Linked DNA regions of Mus musculus: all the other regions are reported to be linked to region 1. The links are microRNA targets in miRTarBase. Many come from high-throughput screens and were not tested one by one. Region 1 holds a microRNA gene; each other region holds the end of a gene's coding sequence.
Evidence for each region. The annotated mature microRNA mmu-miR-3097-3p reads CUCAGACCUUUCUACCUGUCAG and lies in region 1 at 1,358-1,379, opposite strand. An mRNA with a match to its seed (bases 2 to 7 or 8) in the 3' UTR can be bound and repressed. Matches are read on the target gene's strand: a 7mer-m8 pairs with bases 2 to 8, a 7mer-A1 pairs with bases 2 to 7 and ends in A, and an 8mer does both.

Region 1 (4,201 bases):
CAACCCTCCCTTGGGCCCCAGGGCACTCAGATGTTAATTAACTCTCCAGGGACCCTTCTGATCCCTGTCAACAGCCTCTCCTTTGTCACTCTTAGTAAGAGCAGAGTCATAGGCATAGGCACAGCCAGAAGGGCAGGCAGACTCAAGACTGTGGCTGCACCCTTAGCAGGCCTTCACTTCCTAGGAACTTGGAAGGCAGTTGTCTCAAGGGTAAGTGAGGCCTGGGGAAGCTCTGCTCTGTTTTAAGCTAATTCCTGCAACCTAGCGGCACAGCAGCTGGCAGGGCTGGGAAGTGTGTTCTGGACGGGTCAGATCACATGCTCTTCCAGAATTAAGACACAAACATGTAAACAGGGTTCCATGTGCATCCTGTGATCCGGCAGAGGCTGAGGCACGAGTATGTGAGCTTCATGTCAATGGTGGTGAAATTACACAGTGAGATCCTGTCTCAAATGACAATTGCTGCTACTGCTACTAAGCACGTAAACATGTAAGTATACAGACAGGTCCACAGCATTCTGGATGTACACTAGTGTGGCAGCGACGTGTGCTCATAGAAAGCTTTCTCTGGGCTGGGATAATGCAGTTATCATCCGCTCTCAAATGCTGGAAGTGACACCGAACTTGCTCAGAGTCAGCCCTGCAATCATCAAAGACCACTGACCTTCCATAATGTGCTGTTGTGGCCACGCTGTAGCTGTCATGTTCTGTAGGTCAAGTGTGTCCAATGTGCATACAATTTTTTTATACTTATTTATTCATTTACTTATTTAGTGAGAGAGAGAGAGAGAGAGAGAGAGTGTGTGTGTGTGTGTTGTACACCCACCATGGTCCGTGTCTAAAGAGTACAACTTATAGAAGTTGATTCTCTCCTTTCACTATGTGGGTCCCAATGATCAAACTCAGGTTGTCAGGTTTGGCGGCAAGAGCCTTTATCTGCTGAGCAGTCTCACCAGCCCCATAGACTTTTGAAAAGTAATATTGTCCCTTACTTCGGTTGACAGTGGGTACATGGGGCTATCTGTGGCAAAGGCTTTATTGTTCCTCAGATCTACTGAATCCTTTTGAGACTGGAGCCCAGTGGTCAGATGGGCTTGTCACCATGCCCACATGACCAGCAGCCCCCTTCCCAGAAGGGCACGTGCTACTCTGAGTGACTCTGCACCCCCAAGCCTTGGCTGGAAGCCCCATGGAAGACTGTCTGCAAAGTCACCTGGAGCTGTTGTTCCTTGAACATGTCAGGGTGGGGTGCATTGAGAATGTCATCTGCCAGCTGGGCCTGGCTGTCAATGTTGACAGGAGTGGTGGCTTTGCTGCACAGGAATTTACTGAAAATCTCCCGGGCCCTGTAAGAGAGCTGACAGGTAGAAAGGTCTGAGCAGATCTGTAGACACACCCACTGGACACACACTTCCCACCTGTGTCACTCAAACATTCCTAAGGCTGACTCTGCTTCGGGGCTGGAGAGCTGAGTCACAGGCCCTGTCTATAGTCTGGCTTATGAAAGTAAATATAAAAGAAAGAGCCAGGAGGAAACTCCTGAATCGGCTCCTCTACAAATTTCTAAATGGCTGCAAATTTCTAAATGGCTGCTTTGTAAGGGCCTCAGAGGAGGATCTGCCAGCAAAGTGTGCACGACAGGGGAGGGCAAAAGTGCACAATGCTCAGAGCACAAGACACAGGCATGAGGCCACTCTGTGAGGACAGCTGTTACTTTGGGGGAAAGGCCACAGGACATGGCCTGGGCAGTCCTGGGGCAGCTAGACAGGTGCTGTTAAGCCACAGGTAGAGGCTGCAGTTTGCCAGAGTGCTTCTCCAAGTCTCTTCAAACACTGTTCCTTCTTACCCAACCCAACGTCAAGTGCCACCACTGCCAGGCTCTGTGGCGAGGCATTTATGCAGACTATGTTTAGGCAGAATTAAATGTCACACACTTAAGTTTTTATGCTGAAGCAGAAATGTCACCGTTCTTTAAAGTCAGTAAGAAGCATCCCTCATCGACTGCTCAAGCAACCCTTGATGTAACCTCGGTCCTCACACAGCCCCTGCTCTGAAGAGCAGTTTACCTCTTTTTTGTCATGTGCAGGAACATGACTGAAGCACTCACAGGCCTGCCAGAATAAAATGTTCTCTTCACTGAATTCCTTACGTAGAAAATCCTGAGGGAACACAGGAAGGAGAGCAGTTGTCACTCCACAACCCCTCTATGAAGCTGAGCCCCATATCCCCGGCCCTCTTTGTCTACACCATGGCAGGAAAGGAGCCTCGCAGGGGCCTTGAAAGCAGGCATAGGGGCTGCGCAGCACACGTGAGTGGGCGGGCCATCTGCCTCACAGCTCTTTTCTCAAGGGCTGGTCATCTTTTTTTTTTTTTTTAAAGAAATATATTTTTAGTCTCTGGTTAGCATATAAAATATGACATCATATCACTGACACTATTATCACGTGCTGCTCGTAATCACTCTTTCACAGCTCCATCCCTACTTCTGGATCCTTAAGAGCTGTATTTGTCAGCATGCATTTCCAAGAATTTTGAAGAAGCTCCAGCTAGGATGATGTCATACAACTGTAATCCTAGTACTCAGAAGGATAAGGCAGGGGGATTATGAGTTCCAAACCAGACTGACTAACATAGTGAAATCCAGTCTCAAAACAAACAAAAAAAACAAACACACAGAGCCAAGACACTCTGATGTTCCTTGCTGCACAGACATCGAGAGAGTGAGAGGGAAGTGTGCCGGCAGGGAACTCCAGGGCAGGAGGCAGGCCAGGAAGGGAAAACAGAACTGCCAGCCCCTACAAGTGTACACGCTACCTACCCCATCCTTGAGCTTGGAGCAGGTGCTGGACGACCACACCTCTAACAAGGTGATGCCCAGGCTCTGAGGTCTGAGATGGCCCCGTGAGCTCAAGCACCCGGGCTCAAAGTGCTGCCACCCCACAGCAGTCCCCCTTACTCACAGAGAAGTAGCGAACACCAACAGGATCCTGAAGGAGACGCTCAAATGACACTGCCCAGCTTGCAACTCTCCTCTCTCGTAGGCGCCGGCAGCTCTGCACACTGGGGAGGCTGGCATTGCTGCTCAGGCTGTTGTTGCTGATGCAGTCCTTAAGGTCAGCTCCAGTCAACTCTGCAGGATCATCACAGACATACCTGCACCTCGGAGGCCACAGGTACCTATATCCAGCTCTACTTCCCACAACCCATGTTGTTCACTGAGCAACATGTACTGCACCTGAAACCTAGCCAAGGCTTTCTAGACTTCAGAAAAGAACACATCTCAACTTCCCAGGGCTGAACAAGAGAAGCTATTGCCTAAGGTGTGCATACAACACAGAGCAGAAAGAATGATGCTGAGCATACGGAAGGCGGGAAGGCATTTATAAGTGCACCACAAAGCAAAAGCCCCTGAGTGAAGTCTGAGGAGGGGCTGCAGTTGGTCCCATCACCCTCCTGGTGCTGTCTGCTGCAATTTGGATCCATGGCTCATTGCCTGTGCACTTTTCTGTGTGCAGATCACTTTTCAGTGACGATATTAAGCCACACTATCCAAACTGAGTATTTAACCATGTGTCATCTGGTAGCTCATTCACTGATGACCCGATACAGGAAAATATTACAACAAAGAAAAGGAGATGTGTCTAGGAAGACCCCATCTATCACCCTTGTCACTTGAAGCAGCCCAGGGATGAGGGGAGGGCCACAAGCCAGTGTAAGTAGAACTCTATAGCACTGTTACACATGGTGCTCTGGAGAGCGAGGCACAGGTAGCTTCAGAGACAAGGCCAGCCCAATGTGGGGTGGCACTTTGGGGCTATGCCGTCAGGGGGCTCAGGCAGCAGAGCTGATGAAGGTGATTTTCCACGTGGGATCATTAAGGAAATGCTGCTACGTCACATAGTCACAGGACTCCATCTGCTCTGAGCATTCCGGACAGGCTACTCAGGATACTCTGCCCTCTGGTCAGGTCACAGGACAGATTCCTGGGGACAAGTTAGCAGGCTCTAGTTTGAGATCAGTCACTGAAGTGCCCTTTCTAGCAAGGAGGGGAGGAGAGGAAGACAGGGGACTGGAAGCAGCACAGACACTTATACTTTCAGATCACACCCGGAATAGCATGCAGATGGCAAGTAAACCACAACATAGAGGGCCTTGCAGGAGGCCCGGCATGGAGACTACAAGTCTAGAGGAAAGTGACCCT
Region 2 (4,201 bases), not on the chromosome of region 1:
CCTGTCTCGAAAAAAAAAAAAAAAAAAAAAAAAAAAGAATCGACAAGTGGGACCTCATAAAATTGCAAAGCTTCTGTAAGGCAAAGGACACTGACAAAAGGACAAAACAATACCAACAGATTGGGAAAAGATCTTTACCAATCCTACATCCGATAGAGGGCTAATATCCAATATATACAAAGAACTCAAGAAGTTAGACTCCAGAGAACCAAATAACCCTATTAAAAAATGGGGTAGAGAGCTAAACAAAGAATTTTCAACTGAGGAATATCAAATGGCCAAGAAGCACCTAAAGAAATGTTCAACATCCTTAGTCATTGGTGAATTACAAATCAAAACCACCCTGAGATTCCATTTCACACCAGTCAGAATGGCTAAAATTAAAAACTCTGTTGACAGCAGATGTTGGTGAGGATGTGGAGAAAGAGGAACACTCCTCCATTGCTGGTGGGAATACAAGCTCGTACAACCACTCTGGAAATCAGTTTGGCCGGTCCTCAGAAAATTGGACATAGTATTACCTGAGGACCCAGCTATGCTACTCCTGGGCATATACCCAGAAGATGCTCCAACTGGTAAGAAGGACACATGCTCCACTATGTTCATAGCAGCCTTATTTCTAATAGCCAGAAGCTGGAAAGAACCCAGATGCCCCTCAACAGAGGAATGGATACAGAAAACGTGGTGCATTTCCACAACAGAGTACTGCACAGCTATTAAAAACGATGAATTCATGAAATTCTTAGGCAAATGGATGGATCTGGAGGATATCATCCTGAGTGAGGTAACCCAATCACAAAAGAACACACACAATATGTACTCACTGATAAGTGGATACTAGCCCCAAAGCTCCAAATAACCAGGATACAATTCACAGACCACATGAAGCTCAATAAGAAGGACGAGCAAAGTGTGGGTGCTTCTGTCCTTCTTAGAAGGAGAACAAAATACTCACTGGAGCAAATATGGAGATAAAGTGTAGAGCAGAGACTGAATGAAAGGCCACCCATAGATTGTCCCACCTCGGAATTCATGCCGTACAGCGTTACCAAACCAGACACTGTTGTGGGTGCCAAGAAGTACATGCTGAAAGGAGCCTGATATGGCTGTCTCTTGAGAGGCCCTGCCAGAGCCTTACAAATACAGAGGTGGATGTTAGCAGCCAACCACTGGACTGAGCTCGGGGTCCCTAATAGAGGAGTTAGAGAAGGGACTGAAGGCATTGAAGGGGTTTGCAACCCCAATAGGAAGAATAATATCAACTAACCAGACTCCCCCCAACCCCCCACTGCCCCAGAACTCCCAGGGACTATGCCATCAACCAAGAAGTACACATAGCTCAAGCTGCATATGTTGCAGAGGATGGCTTTGTCATGGATCAATGGAAGGAGAGGTCTTTGGTCCTATGATGGCTTGATAAATAACCCAGTGTAGGGGAATCAAGGGCAGGGAAGTGGGAGTGGGTGGGTGGGTGAACACCCTCATAGAAGCAGGGGAGGGGGGATGGGATAGGGGGCTTCTGGGAGGGGGGTAAATCAGGAAAGGGGATAACATTTGAAATGTAAATAAAGAAAATATCCAATAGTAAAAAAAGAAAAAAAAGGATGTATTTATTATTTTATATATGAATACACTGTAGCTATCTTCAGACACACCAGAAGGGGGCATCAGATCCTATTACAGATGGTTGTGAGCCACCATGTGGTTGCTGGGAATTGAACTCAGGACCTCTGGAAGAGTGGTCAGTGTTCTTAACCACTGAGCCATCTCTCCAGCCCGTGGTGTTTCTTTTTTTCAAAAAGGTTTGACTTCTCTGTGTACAACTGTCTTTGCTTACATGTCTTTGCTTACATGGCCTTGTGCACCCCTGGAGTCTGAGGCAACCAGAAGCACTCTGTGGGTGCTGGGGACAGAGCTCAGATCCCAGACAAGAGCAACCTGTGCTCTACCCGCTGAGCCAGCTCTTCAGGCCTGTGTGCATGGCATTCCTTAAGAACATGTGCCTGCACAGGAAACCCCGGTCACACCAAAAGCAGGCGGTGTGCCGTGAAAAGGGTCATGGAGGCTGTCTTGAAGTGTGCAGGTAGAACTGCTCGCCCAGAAGGCCAGGCTCAGGTGAAGCCCCCTCCTTACCCGCTGCTGCAACCGATAGCTGCTTTGGGCTTCACCCTGAAGACCTGTGTCACAGTTGTTGAGAGATGAAAGAGTGCCAACTAACAACTTCCCGCTAGCATCTGGGCCTTCCTTGGCCACGTCCTCGGAGGTCTTGTTTCTTCACAGGCTGTCCTGGCAGAAGGAGCTTTTCCGCCGTGAACAGGGCTGGGCCGTGCTGGGTAGAATTATTAAAGCGTGGCACCAGATTTGAGTTGTGTGGCCATTTTTCTGGGTATCAGCGTGATTGCAGACCGCGATGACCATGCCCTCTACAGAGGAGCTGGAGTCCTTCAAGTACAGGAACCTGCAACATTTAGCCAAAAGGCTGGGTCTCCGGGCTCCCCTGTGGGCAGACAAGCTGTTCAGAGCCTTGAAAGCACACCCGAACCCAGAAACCGGGCAAGAAAATAAAACTCAGGATGAAAATCAATCTGCATTCTCTCTCTGTTGAGGAGACTGAGATACAAGGTAGTAGTGAGGAGCAAGCTGTCTACCCCAGTCAAAAGCTCTTTTCTATCAAAACTTTCAGACGTAATTTGTGTAGTGTCTCTTGTGTGCTATATCTGAGAATATGTTATCACCTAAAAGTTAAAAAAAACAAAACAAAACAAAAAAACCAAGATTGATTACAAAGGCGCAGTGCAGCGAGCAACAAGCTCGATTGGGGCAGGGCTATGACTCCTCTCTCTTCCTTTTTGGCCTGCAACTGAGTCTGCCCTGGAGCCACCAGCACTGCTGGATGTCCTGCCTACCGAAGATGCTCATGGAGCATTCATCTAAGGTCACTTATAGGCGCCTGCAGGCAGCACTGTGCCGTCGAAGCTGTTCCCTCACCCCAGGACCCAACACTTTGTTTTTTAAGTACCTGGAGCTGGGAAGGGACCTGAATAGTGCCGGACAGAGGACAGGGTTCGGCCTGGTTTTATAAGTACCACGGGAAGGCTACAGAGAGCAGCACAGGGCCTTCACACAAACACTGACTGGACACGGTCTTCTTTCACCATCAGGTTCACTAGCTTCTCTCTTACTGAATGGTTCATGCCTGCTTTTTGTCCCTGGCATTTTCTAGTTCTGCAAGTACTAGAGTACAACGGGCACACCCAGGCCACACTGAGATCTTAAACAACGCCAGCTCCTCCAGTTAGTGTCCCCTTTCTCCATGGTTTCAGTGACTTCTGGTCAGAAGCCACGGCTGTGGTGAGGTATGGGTTAGGAAGCGCGGCTGTAGACAATGGTACCTGTGACACACTGAGGGGCTACGGCAGGATTAAAAATCGGAATGTTCTAAATGTCACCTAGAGGACAAACACCGAGACAGAACCACCAGATGCCTGACATCAGTGAGCCTCATCTGTGGCACAAACAGCACCCAGGGCTTCCAGCTGGCAGCAGAAGCTGGCAGCCACTTCAGATAAGTCTGTCTCCTCCACACGGCCCCCAGCCTGGGCCGAGCACCTGTCAGCAGAGAAGAGCTGGCTCTGTCCTCAGGGCTGGGCTCTGAAGATATTTTTCATTTCCCAGGAAGCAGGTCCCGTCTTCCAAGGTCCCAGGAGGGCTAGGCACGCTGCATGGCCCCCCGCAGGGAGCTTTGGAGAGCACAGCTTGGCCGCTCTCGGTGCCCACACTCTCCTCCTCTTCGTTGGAATAGTTGCCCGAGTCCTGGCTGGTCTGTGAGCTGTACTTCCTGAGGTCCTCCTCAGGCGCGTGCTTTACTTCTACAGCGACCGTGTCTGTATTCTCAATGATGAAGCATCTTTCCGTGTGCTCCTCAGCCGTCAGAAGTACAAGGTTTTTTGAAGGCGGCTCAGAGAAAAACTGATGGTAAAAGGGAAGGAAAACAGGTTGTTTAAAATAAACCCTGCATCTCCAGCTCTAGCTTCTGTTTTATGTCCAGCCTTTCGGAGTGTGCATCACGACATATGAGCTATCCCGGGAATGACTGTGAGGCTCAGAAGGCACAGCAGGCCACCGGGCTCAAGGCCATTTTTGGGTAAACCTGTGAAGAATCCTCACACAGGCACTGTGCTGCCAAGGGTGGGTTAGGGGT
Region 3 (4,201 bases), not on the chromosome of region 1:
ATTAACAAACACGACAAGGACAACTTCCCTGTTCCTGAAGAATCACGTGCCCCCCACTCTGAAGAAATGAAAACAAACCAAATCCAGCTAAACTACTGCAGAGGAATGGTCTCCAGGAGGCCTCTTCCAACTCATACTACTACTGACCTCATGGAGCCTACGATGCAACAGAAATGACACGCAAGTTTGGATGACGGATCTACTCCCCTCTGTTTTATAGGGCCACCACCCTGCAGTAAGATTCAGCTGTGTAACTTTCCTCCCAGAAGTGAGAGTAAATGTCAAGAGCAAAAATTCCTGCAATTAAATGTTAATTCCTGAATATATTTCTTATGACATTTTGCAAGCTGTCTAGATACATTTTTTGTTCAAACTCCACGAGGTTTTCATGGATACTTTCTGTTCCCTTTGCTTTAATAAATCTAACCGACTGAAGTTGTGCATTTTGTGTGCATGGGTATTTAAAAGTACAGATGAGGAGGCTGAAGAAATGGCTGGGTGGGTAAGAGAGCTTACTGCTCCTGCAGAAGACCAGGCAGTTCCCAGCACCCACATGTAGCAGCTCACAACCATCTGTTAACTCCAGCTTAAGGGCTTCTAACACCTTCTGGACTCCAGGGGCACCCGTACTCACACATGCACACACACACCCCCACCTCCCATATATACAATTTAAAATAAAAATACATATTTAAAAAATAAAATGTGGTTGTAACTCATAGGCTAAATCTAGGTTGTAAGTTCTTTGGGTAAGTACACTTGGTTACTGCCTATACTTAGTTGAGAAGCTTGGCATATTTGTAACATAATTAGTTATCACAGCTACCATTTTGTAATTACCTAGTTTTAGAAAATAGAAATTCTCATCTGTACAACCACCACAAACTCTTATCAAGGATACATTTGTGAAAATCCCTTTTCTGTTTATTGGAACTGGGTTTCACTATTGTAACCTTGGCTGGTCAGAAAGTATGTAGGCCAGGCTGGCTTCAAACCCCCATGCACCCACCCCCCACCCGGCATGTACGCATTTTTTAAAAATAGTATAGAATAGAGTTTATTTAGGGCAAGGGGAGTTAAGAGGGTAGTAGTGGCAGAGAAAGGCAGAGGGGGAGAGAATAGAGAAATAGAGGCTGGCCATGAACACGTGGAAAGGGGGAGGGAAGGGAGGGAAGAAGGGAAGAGCCCAAGAGAGCAAGAGAGAAACAAGAGCTGTATGCATCTTTTAACTGGGGTTTTGCCAGGGTGCAGCTCTGGCAGAATGCCTGCCTGGCAGGAATGAGACCTTCACACTTTCCAAGAGCCCCAAATCAGAGAATACACAAACATCAAAGATGGCACCTTTAAATGCTTCTGCACACATGGTTGTAGTGGACTGAAAACAGGACCCATTTTGCAACTAGGGCTGTCAGAGACAACTTGCTTGATTGTTCCTTCCATCTAGAGTAGCCAAACAATTTGCTTTGACAGTATGCAGTATAAGTGATACTCTGTGAGTTCCTGAGTCCAGATTTTGAAGGTTCCCTTGCCATCTTGGTACACTAGAACCACAATGATGTAAGGTATAGGACCACAAGGAGAAACCTGGCCATCCCACCCAGACCCAGCAAACCTGCCAACCAAAGGCAGAAAGCCCACATAATGCTTGCAAAGAATCATTTAACCAACCTCAAAACTGTGAAAAGTAAAATTGTTTCTTTAAGCCATTAAGTCTGGGCAGCAGCAGGTCATTGACAACAAATTACCTAATCCCCACAGCACAACCTTAAGGTGGAGGAAACAGCCCTGGGTTGGGTAGTCTGGTAGTCACAACACTTGTAAGAGTCCCAAGAACTAGATACATACAACAGGCCAACTCTGGTCTCTTTCACTGACACCCTGGACTAATCAGCTCTCTGTTAAGGACAGAACTCTAACAACAAAGTAATTCCATCTTTTTATAACCTGCACAGGTAGTGTGTCCTTATTTGATACAAACAGCAGGCTTGACCCAGTGCTGCAATGCATGCATCCAATTCTGCTGTTTGCAGGTCAAATAACATTAACTCACTTCAACACAAAATAGCCCTATGGCAATTATGCGATTCACCCAGCAATATTCTAACCAGCAACAAACAGTAAACACGAGCCCCAACAATCTATAGCAGGGCTATAATGTATACACAGCAAACCAGTTAAAAGAGCAAACTTAAAGCTTGCTTTTAGGCCTTGCACATGTTAGCAAGAGATCCACCCCAGTCCTCATTTAATAACTTCTTGATTTTAATTATTTTTCTACACTTTAAAACACAAACAAAAAATAAAAAAGAAAAGAGAAAAGCTAGAAAATACTTCATCTTGAATCGTAAAAGGCATGAGGCTGATTATGAAATAACCATTTTAAGAAAATATACAAGGATGTATTCTGACCCACCAAAAACACCTCACCTGAAATTTAAACAAAATTCACATTTTATTTAGGTTGAAATAAACTATACAAAATTGATTTTATTCACCAAAAATAACAGCAATATTTTCTGTATTATTTTTAGATAAACCACAAAACATTTATTTCTGTAGGTTTTGCTTATAACCGAGCCAAGGCAGCAGACACAGTCATGTAAGGAGACAACAGACAAGTCAGCTGCCTATAGGGATGGCCTCTGGGTCTTTCTTCTCCATGAAGCACAAGTGAATAGCAAACAAGCCTATGAAAATGTGGGCTCAGCAAAGAAATGCAAACAGCAGCAATCAAGTGAGGAGCAGCAGGGCTGGCTCTGCTACTGTAACTTGTTCCTTTGAGGTTCTTCTGCCCTGACAGGATCTACACAGAAGGCTGCTCGTTACTTCCTGTGACTTTTGCTGTTCTTTTTGCTTTTGAGTACTGAGGCAAGAGCTCCACACTAGGCTCCACCCCAGTCAGCCCTCACTCGTTCTTTGAAGCAGGCTCACTATGTGGTCCAGGCCTAAAGCCTGTCATCCTCATGCCTCTGCCTCCCAAGTGCTGCTACCACAGCTCGGAAACACCTGAAACTCCAAGTCAAAGTCAATGGTGTTTTTCATCATGACACATTATAAAATGTATTTCTCTCACAAAATTCATTTTCCAAAGACCTGATAACTTAATAACTGACAACTGGATCGACAGTGATAATGTCATATCTAAAATGACTTTTTAAGAGATTTATTTATTTTACGTATATGAGTACACTGTTGCTCTCTTCAGACACACCAGAAGAGGGCATCGGATCCCATTACAGATGGTTGTGAGCCACCATGTGGTCACTGGGACTTGAACTCAGGACCTCTGGAAAGGCAGTCAGTGCTCTTAACCGCTGAGCCATTTCTCCAGCCCCTAAAACGACTTTTAAGTAAAACATTTTCAGAGTGCCACCAGCAGAGGTATTTTGGCACTCCTAATGCCAACTTCTGGAAGAACAGACAGGTATTGAAAGCATGAGTGTTCAAACAGGGGCCATTTAAACACGTGGATTACCAATAGCTAATAGTATGTTAAACTGGAGGTCTATCAGCAAGTCATTATCTGGCCTACTATACCTTACAGCTTTTCTTCCAAACAGCAAAATAAGATAACAGCCATTTTTAAAATCTTCTAGGTATTTTCAATGGTTTCTGAATTAATTGTAGGAAGCTCTGACTTATTTGTATAGAGTTTGATGTATGTGTCCACCATTAAATCTAAATCATGTTTTATATCAAAATTTATGTTAAGCAAAGCCAAATTGCTTGACCTCTGGTCTGTCAGAGTGTTCCGCAGGTATGCTTTGAGACGCTTCCGTCCATTTTCATAGCGCTCATTCTCAACTTTCATCACAGGGAGAATACACAGGACCTTCAGCAAAGCATATACATTAGGGAAAAACTTGATGTCAGGAAGATGGAGGGCTTCATAAATGGTGGACGGGAGCTCGATATCTTTCCCTCTGTGTTTCCACTTGATTCTCCAACAGTGAAGCTCGGCAGAGAGCGTGTCAGGGTTGGGTAGGTCACTTCTGTACATGTCAGCATGGTGCTCTTCTGATGTGTTAAATTTGAGCTGCCCCATCACTGAGGGTACCAGAGATAGGCATTTCAGAGCTTTGAGGTGCTGTTCAGAGAAAATATCTTTAAGTTCCTGAATAATGTGCTCTACTGTTGGAACACTGAGAGTGTCTTTATAATAACTCTCAGAGGTTAGCTGAGATTCCAGGTTACCTTGCTG

Region 2: miRTarBase lists Ifnar1 as a target of mmu-miR-3097-3p. Seed matches in the 3' UTR shown: 7mer-A1 at 2,679-2,685 and 7mer-A1 at 1,645-1,651.
Region 3: the mRNA of Thap12 is a reported target of mmu-miR-3097-3p. Seed matches in the 3' UTR shown: 7mer-A1 at 3,201-3,207.

Annotation. Positions count from the first base shown.
Region 1 is chr5:35,018,272-35,022,472 of GRCm38, reverse strand. Mir3097 (microRNA 3097) reads right to left here and starts at 1,424; the gene lies at 1,358-1,424. It overlaps Rgs12 (regulator of G-protein signaling 12), which reads right to left. Exons shown (of 17, transcript NM_173402.2): 5 at 2,961-3,130; 6 at 2,067-2,159; 7 at 1,214-1,357.
Region 2 is chr16:91,504,823-91,509,023 of GRCm38, reverse strand. It overlaps Ifnar1 (interferon (alpha and beta) receptor 1), which reads right to left. Exons shown (of 11, transcript NM_010508.2): 11 at 1-3,969. The coding sequence ends at 3,613. Among named protein-coding and RNA genes, the nearest start is that of Mir6367, 21 kb to the left of the region's middle.
Region 3 is chr7:98,716,295-98,720,495 of GRCm38, reverse strand. It overlaps Thap12 (THAP domain containing 12), which reads right to left. Exons shown (of 5, transcript NM_028410.2): 5 at 2,434-4,201. The coding sequence ends at 3,593. Gm19656 (a long non-coding RNA gene) reads left to right here. Exons shown (of 3, transcript XR_869811.2): 3 at 1-1,140. Among named protein-coding and RNA genes, the nearest start is that of Gm19656, 8.7 kb to the left of the region's middle.